Saccharomyces cerevisiae S288C: one gene and its partner. The protein of the gene in region 1 purifies or fractionates together with the protein of each later gene. This does not show direct contact. Each region holds a gene or a part of one and is shown in the gene's direction. Other genes may lie near its edges.

Evidence for each region.
Region 2: the proteins of APS2 (region 1) and APM4 purify together in Saccharomyces cerevisiae (affinity purification with western blotting; 2 studies listed by BioGRID, with this or other methods). This does not show direct contact.

Annotation. Positions count from the first base shown.
Region 1 is NC_001142.9:544,232-547,289, reverse strand, and holds APS2 (Aps2p), read left to right. Parts: upstream 1-2,114; coding exon 2,115-2,558; downstream 2,559-3,058. Other genes in the region: protein kinase PTK2, read right to left, coding at 1-1,503; CDC8 (bifunctional thymidylate/uridylate kinase), read right to left, coding at 2,578-3,058. UniProt on the Saccharomyces cerevisiae protein: Component of the adaptor complexes which link clathrin to receptors in coated vesicles. Clathrin-associated protein complexes are believed to interact with the cytoplasmic tails of membrane proteins, leading to their selection and concentration.
Region 2 is NC_001147.6:209,863-214,115, reverse strand, and holds APM4 (Apm4p), read left to right. Parts: upstream 1-2,120; coding exon 2,121-3,596; downstream 3,597-4,253. Other genes in the region: MAM3 (Mam3p), read left to right, coding at 1-99; ribose phosphate diphosphokinase subunit PRS5, read right to left, coding at 382-1,872; CRT10 (Crt10p), read left to right, coding at 3,851-4,253. UniProt on the Saccharomyces cerevisiae protein: Component of the adaptor complexes which link clathrin to receptors in coated vesicles. Clathrin-associated protein complexes are believed to interact with the cytoplasmic tails of membrane proteins, leading to their selection and concentration.

The DNA of each region.
Region 1 (3,058 bases):
GTTGTCATATGACACTTCAAATTCCCTGAATCTCGCATCAGTGTTACAAGAATCGATGAAGGGGATGATATTGTTAATCATGGTAATCAGCATGATTCCGAGGGCATAGGAATCCATGGCCAACGGATTATAGGGTTTTTGGAACTTTTCGGGGTAGTGCTTCTTGGCATCGAAGTACATTACCTCTGGCGGAGTGTATGGTGGAGAGCCAATCATACCTTGGCATGTTTTCACTGGACTAGTGTAGTCATGAGGTATCACATGGTACCAATCAGAAATACCGAAATCCGTCAATTTGCATATACCTTCTTTAGAAATTAAAACATTTTCGGGCTTCAAATCACGGTGAGCAATACCATTGTCATGACAAAACTTAATACCTTGGGCCACTTGTTTGAAAAGACAATATTTTTCATTGAAGGGAACGTTCTTCCAGCCTGTTCTTTCCATCAGTTGGAAGAGGTCCTTAACACCTAGTTCCATAATAAACCCCCAACCACGAGTTGTATATGTGGTCGTGGGAACTTTTAGAAGATAAAAAGTATTCGTGATGTGAACGTTATGACTTAAATGCTTAGCTATGATGAATTCTTTGGAGCATCTCTTGTAAAACTTCTCGGGTGACTCGTGGTATATCATATTCAGTTTTTTTAGAGCGTAAACATCCTTTTGCCTGTAACTTGATTTAACCTTTCTAACTTCACTAGACCCACCCGAACCAATAGGTTTATTGTCCGTATCAAATACGAAATTATCCGTTAAATGGACACTATATTGTTTCATATCTTCGGGCAAAAAATCGTTCGGATTAGCAATTGGAAGGGGCAACATCCGTATCTTGCTGTTACCATCATGCATGTAAAAACTCAAATCGTTCTCCTTATTCGTATTCAGAGTGTCTGCAAATGCAGTATCTGGCCTAGCATGGTTTGGGCTTATGCCGTATGGATTATAAACTATATTCTCGTTGGGAAAATGGTGACTAGCCATGCTATTAGACCTTTGCGGTAAGCCCGCGTGATGAGTATTTCTTTCTTTGTTTCTCGCCCTTTCTTTTTCCTTTTCTCTATCCAAAACTGCTCTATCCCTATCTCTTGTCGAGGCAATGCCAGTACCTGTGCCCAGAATATCAGAGGGAGAGTTCAAGTAAGGGTTATTATTATGTTTAATTAAGTCCTGCAATGCGACAGAGGACTTGTGTGACGACACAGACCCATTTGAAAATCCTACAGAAGCATTGTTTTTTCTTCTATGTAAAGAAGCAGATCTCTGCCGTGCCCCAGCAGAAGACGAAGGTGAATTACCACCGCTACCACTGCCACTAATGGACGGAGACGTTGGCCTTTTTCTTAAACTTCTCCCATTGCCCAATTGTTCGGCACTAAGCAGTAACGAAGAGTTATCCGTGTGACTGCTGGAATTAAACAGGCGTTTTCCCAATAGTTTCAAAGTACTAACAGAGGGACTTTTATCTACCTCTTTGTCCTTACCGTTTCCCGCCATTATCTTATTCAATCGGTTAACCTGTAAAAAACTGCTACGGCTTACACAACTTTACTTTCCTGGTGTGCGTGCGATATCGTGGTTTGGATAAGGGTAGCGACGGGATGTGACAATACCTTTCTTTAACACTATATATAAACCTGCTTTTACCGTCAACCGGATATTATTTGGTTCTACCTCCCACCTGCAAGGGGTCGTGCCAATGACGAAAAGACAGCCACCCATGCACCGCACTCGCACGTGGCAACTATTTGCGCCTTTGCCCAAGAGGTTATGCTTGTAGATGGGGTGACCGTACTAAAGCGTTCATGTTGTATATACCATATATGTAGGCTTGAATGGCTATAGGACGCGGGTATGTTTATCATGCTGCCGGCACGTAGTACTTGCAGCTCCGGCATTTCTAAACTGTACCTGTAGTGGAAGGGTCTTTCCAATAGTTTTGCAAGACATATCATTTTGCACGCATAGAACAGTTTCGGATACTTTTGATACAAACGGGGAGGAATGGTTTATTCAGTAGGTACATTAAGAACGTTTGCCTTGAGATAGCGTTTGGTGCTGTTATTTTGTGAAGAACGGAGACTTGTTTGCTGTAAGGGATAAAAAAAATGGCAGTACAGTTTATACTGTGCTTTAATAAGCAGGGTGTGGTGCGGTTGGTGAGATGGTTCGATGTACACAGTTCGGATCCTCAGCGTAGCCAGGATGCCATTGCGCAGATTTATAGACTCATATCTTCCAGAGATCATAAGCATCAGAGTAACTTCGTAGAGTTTTCCGATTCGACGAAACTCATATACAGGAGGTATGCGGGTCTGTATTTTGTCATGGGTGTGGACTTACTTGACGATGAACCCATATATTTGTGCCACATCCATCTGTTTGTGGAGGTGCTAGATGCATTTTTCGGCAATGTCTGTGAACTGGATATCGTATTCAACTTTTACAAAGTCTATATGATAATGGACGAGATGTTTATTGGAGGGGAAATACAAGAAATTTCAAAGGATATGCTGTTAGAAAGACTAAGTATTTTAGATAGACTAGACTAGGATATATGTACAGATCCTCCTAGAAGAACGAAAATTTATCATGATCAATATGCGTACTCAAAACAGGCTCAACGATTTGCCAAATAAGCGCTTCAACTTCCTGAATGCCCTTATTAGTAACGTCTACAATCGTGATTGACTCATCGCCTTTCCTTATCTCTTTATCCAATAGCTTCATAAAAGTTTGCTTCACTTTTTCTTGAAACTTAACAGTTTCGTATCTTTCGTCACCAAATCCAGATTTTTCGGCGTTATTGTCGACATCTTGAGTGCTTAAAAATAATGTCAAATCCGGTTTCAGCAACCCTACATCGGGTTGCAAGCACCAATCCAAATCCATTCCATTTGTCCCCTTAGCGGCAGAATATGCCACTCCAGAATAAACATATCTGTCCATGACAATGTTCTTGCCTTCTAGTAAATCTTTCTTTATCTTGTCAACTATTTCCCATCTATTTGCCGAAAACAAGAGGTGAATTGCCTGATCTGATAATTGGAAA
Region 2 (4,253 bases), on another chromosome or scaffold:
GAAAACGCTAACAACAATGATCGTTCTAATTTCACCGACTCTTTGTCAAGAACTTCCAATTATGATGCCAACGGCTCCTCGTCGACCATAAAAAGATGAAGAGATTATGCCAAAAGAATTGCCCATGCATCATAATAACCATCATCACCGTTCTTATTAGTCCCAGACGCATGAAATCACAGGGGAGAGCAGCTTAAAATTTTTTCTACAGACATACAAGAAGAAATTGCAGTTTTTTTTTTTTTGTTTCTCTAACCTATAAATAAAATGTTTCAATACACATACTAAACAAAGAAAAAAAAATGTAGAGAATTTTATACGCAAAATATATAGACACTTTCCCCTATTTTTATCAATAAAAAAATGAACACATCAATGCCACTACCATCCATGCTCGAACAACATAGAAATGGATTCACCGTTATGGATTCTTCTAATTGCTTCACCGATTATGCAGGAGACATCAATAACATCCACTCTGTCCTTACCTAGGTACTGTAGTGTTCTATCTTGAGGAACCGTGTTAGAAATGATCAACTTATCTATACTACTTTGGCCGATTCTTTCTAGCGCATCACCGGAAAAAACACCGTGCGTTATTAAGGCATAAACTTTGGTAGATCCTTGATCCTTCAACAATTTCGCAGCTCTTGTAATAGTGTATGAAGTATCCACCAAGTCGTCGACTATAATACACACCTTGTTTCTAACATCGCCAACAAGCATGGTAGTTTGAACGAACTTGGACGAATTAGAAGATTGCGACGAGGTGGAAGATGTTGAAGTTGTTTTCTTCATTTCAAGGGCCGCAACCCCAGTGGCACCTGAAGAAGTAGTATTTTGGGAGGAAACCAAAGTAGTAACTAATGGCCTTGGAGATACTGGTAACGAACCACCAGAGGTTAACGTCGCATCTGGAGGGCCCTTCAATAACTGAGATCTTCTTTCTTTATGAATTAGGGCGAAGGACAATTCCAAGGCGTCTGCAATAGCCGTAGCTCTCTTTGCACCACCAGCATCTGGAGAAACGATCACAGCATCCTGATAATCTGGAATGCGATGCTGGATGTAGTTTTGTGCAATGGGTTTACAGTAGAGATTATCCACTGGAATGTCAAAAAACCCAGGGAACTGTGGATCGTGCAAATCCATTGTGATCACATGGTCAGCACCTGCAGCACTCAACAAATGAGCAATCAAAGTACCGGCTTGTACTACCCATAGCTTATAGCCTGCATTTTGAGCGTTGAACAATTCACCAGCGTCCGTGCTATTGCTTGTATTTTGTAACTTACCACCGGGAATCATAGGAATTCTTGAAAAAGAAAGCGTCTTCTTGATGTCGAAATTGTTATTCGCCGTAGCACTGCTGTTTGGTGTTCTGATAGGTTGAGGATTTTCTAAGTTGATAGTTGATCGTATTGCACTATCCAAACTCTTCAACGAGCTCTCAGCACCTGGTCTTTGCGTCATTAAAGAAGATGACACGGGTGTGCCTGGATGCGATTCAAAAGTATAGTTTTCTTTAGGCTTGGAAATTATGGGAGCACCCTTGGCAGTATATGGAATATCTGGCTGTCTCGAGTAGCAGAGATATGGCATTACGGCTGTAACCCTCGAGGCAGAAGCGGACTTGCAGGCACTGATTAAAATCAGCAACTGCATGAACGTGTCGTTCACCTGGCCACAACCACTCTGGATGATATATACATCCTTTTCACGAACAGATTCGCGAAGAGCAATGTTCGTTTCCCCATTAGAAAACTTCCCTAATTCTACTTTCGATGGGTGAATGTCCAAATTTTCACAGATCTTAGTAACTAACTCGGGGTGCGAGTCCCCTCCAAAAACAACAATATTACTCATTGACATCCAGACTGCGTTCCTAGCCTCGTAGCAACCTCCAACAAAGTCACTTTCGACCAACTTACTCTCATCTCATCCAGCCCTTCTCGCTAATCGTAGCCATTTATTATTTGATAGAAAATTTTTTTCAACTGCGGTCGAAGGGTAACAGCCATATTTTCCTTAATTGATTAGTATAGGAGAACTTGATGATAAAGTGTGGAAACCTTTCATAAACGGTTGGAGAAAAGAATCACATAGAGTTATGGTGAGCAATGATTAGTGGTGTGCTGGTATACTCATCGAGAGGTGAACTTGTCTTGAACAAGTTCTTCAAGAACTCGTTGAAGCGGTCCATATCCGATATCTTCCGAGTACAAGTGATCAATAATCTAGATGTTAGATCGCCTGTTTTGACACTGGGCTCAACTACTTTCCATCACATCAGGTCGAGGCATGGTGACAATTTGTGGTTGGTAACCATTACGAGAAGCAACGCTAATAGTGCGGCGATCTGGGAGTTCTTATATAAGCTTGATGCAGTGATGAATGCTTATCGATTGGATAGAGAGGAGGCCTTGAAAGAGGAATTCATGATTGTGCATGAGATGCTGGATATAATGTTGGGTGGAAATGGGATACCAATTGACACTGAATTGAACTCTGTTATAGCGCAGATGTCTGTGAAACCCGTTAGAAATATGGGCGGATTGTTAGATAGTCCCGATGGAAATGATGTATTATCTTCCTCTTCATCTCCTACTTCTTCAGCAGGAGAACTACATTTTCCCAAATTTTTGACAAAAAGAAGCAGTAGTTTCCTGGGTCAAGGAGACTCCACTTCTGATTTCTATGATAACAATAAGATCACTTGGAGGCCCAAGGGGATAATACACAAGAAGGATGAAGTTTTCTTGTATGTCAATGAGAGGATAAACATTCTGGTATCTAGGGATGGTTCTATCTTGAAATCATACGTTGATGGCACCATAGATATCACCACACACTTGAGTGGGACCCCTATTTGTAGATTTGGATTGAATGATTCTTTGGGAATGCAGTCCGAAGACGAGAAGAAATGGTTAGCACAGCAGCAGCGTCACTCTGGCAGCGATTTTGGAAACAAGAACTTCATTCCCAAAGCTGCTGCCGGTAGTGTTTTGTTGGAAGATTGCAAGTTTCACGAATGTGTCTCACTTGACAAATTTAACAGAAATCATATCATTGAATTCGTCCCACCAGACGGTTCGATGGAGTTGATGAAATATCATGTACGAGATAACATAAACCTGCCGTTCAAGGTTACACCTATTGTTACACATTCTACAAGAGATAACGAGATTGATTACAGGATAACATTGAAGTCTTTATTTCCTGGAAAACTTTCCGCCAAAGATGTGGTACTACATATACCCGTTCCACCAAGCACTGTGGATTGTAAGATAAGTGTCTCTAATGGCCACTGTAAGTTTGTGCCAGAAGAAAATGCAATGATTTGGAGGTTCAACAAGTACAATGGGTTGACGGAAAACACTTTAAGTGCAGTTACTGTGTCCACAAGTGATACTACTCAATTGAATCTTCAACAATGGACAAGACCTCCAATATCCCTGGAATTCGAGGTCATGATGTTCAGTAATTCTGGCTTAGTCGTACGATACTTTACCATTTCTGGAAAAGACAGTAAGCATCGTGCTGTAAAATGGATTAAATATATATCGAAAGCCGGTTCTTACGAGGTGAGGTACTAGCCCGTAATTTTTGTGTACATATATTTTTATCATGCCTGTATTTTTTATAGTAATTTCCTTTAGAATGCACATTTTGTTAATATTGAATATTTTCTATTATGAGAGACATGCAATTTAGTTTTTCATTGAAAAGAAAACAGGGAAAAAACATGGAAAAACCATACAAGACACCAAAAACACCATAGTAATGAAGATCAACAGCGCAATCAAGAGGCACTGGTACTTCTAGGCTTGAAAATTTGGTTTTGAATATAATGCCCCCTCAGATTCCCAATGAAAATGATGATCTCTTTACAAGGTGGCTTAAGTCTCGGGCCATCATACAAAGGGCAGTATCGACAAGAGAGTGCTTTGACTCAGAAGTATTTCTGGCGTCTGGTGGCTGGAATATAACGAATGAGATAATAACGTTAAAGAAATATTATCAACTCAAGTGGCCAAACTCCAGTTGCAATTCGTTTCATCCAAAAACCGTGGAGTTTATTAAAGAACGATTACACAACCTAGAAGAACATGACTCTTCATGGAAAATCCCAAATCCTGCTTACTCATTCAAGAAAGCCTTCTTGGAGGATACTAAATCTGCATTTTCCAACTTAGAACCCGTCTGGGGACCATCAAGGCTTTTGAATCCAGCTGAATTACTATTGCCACAGG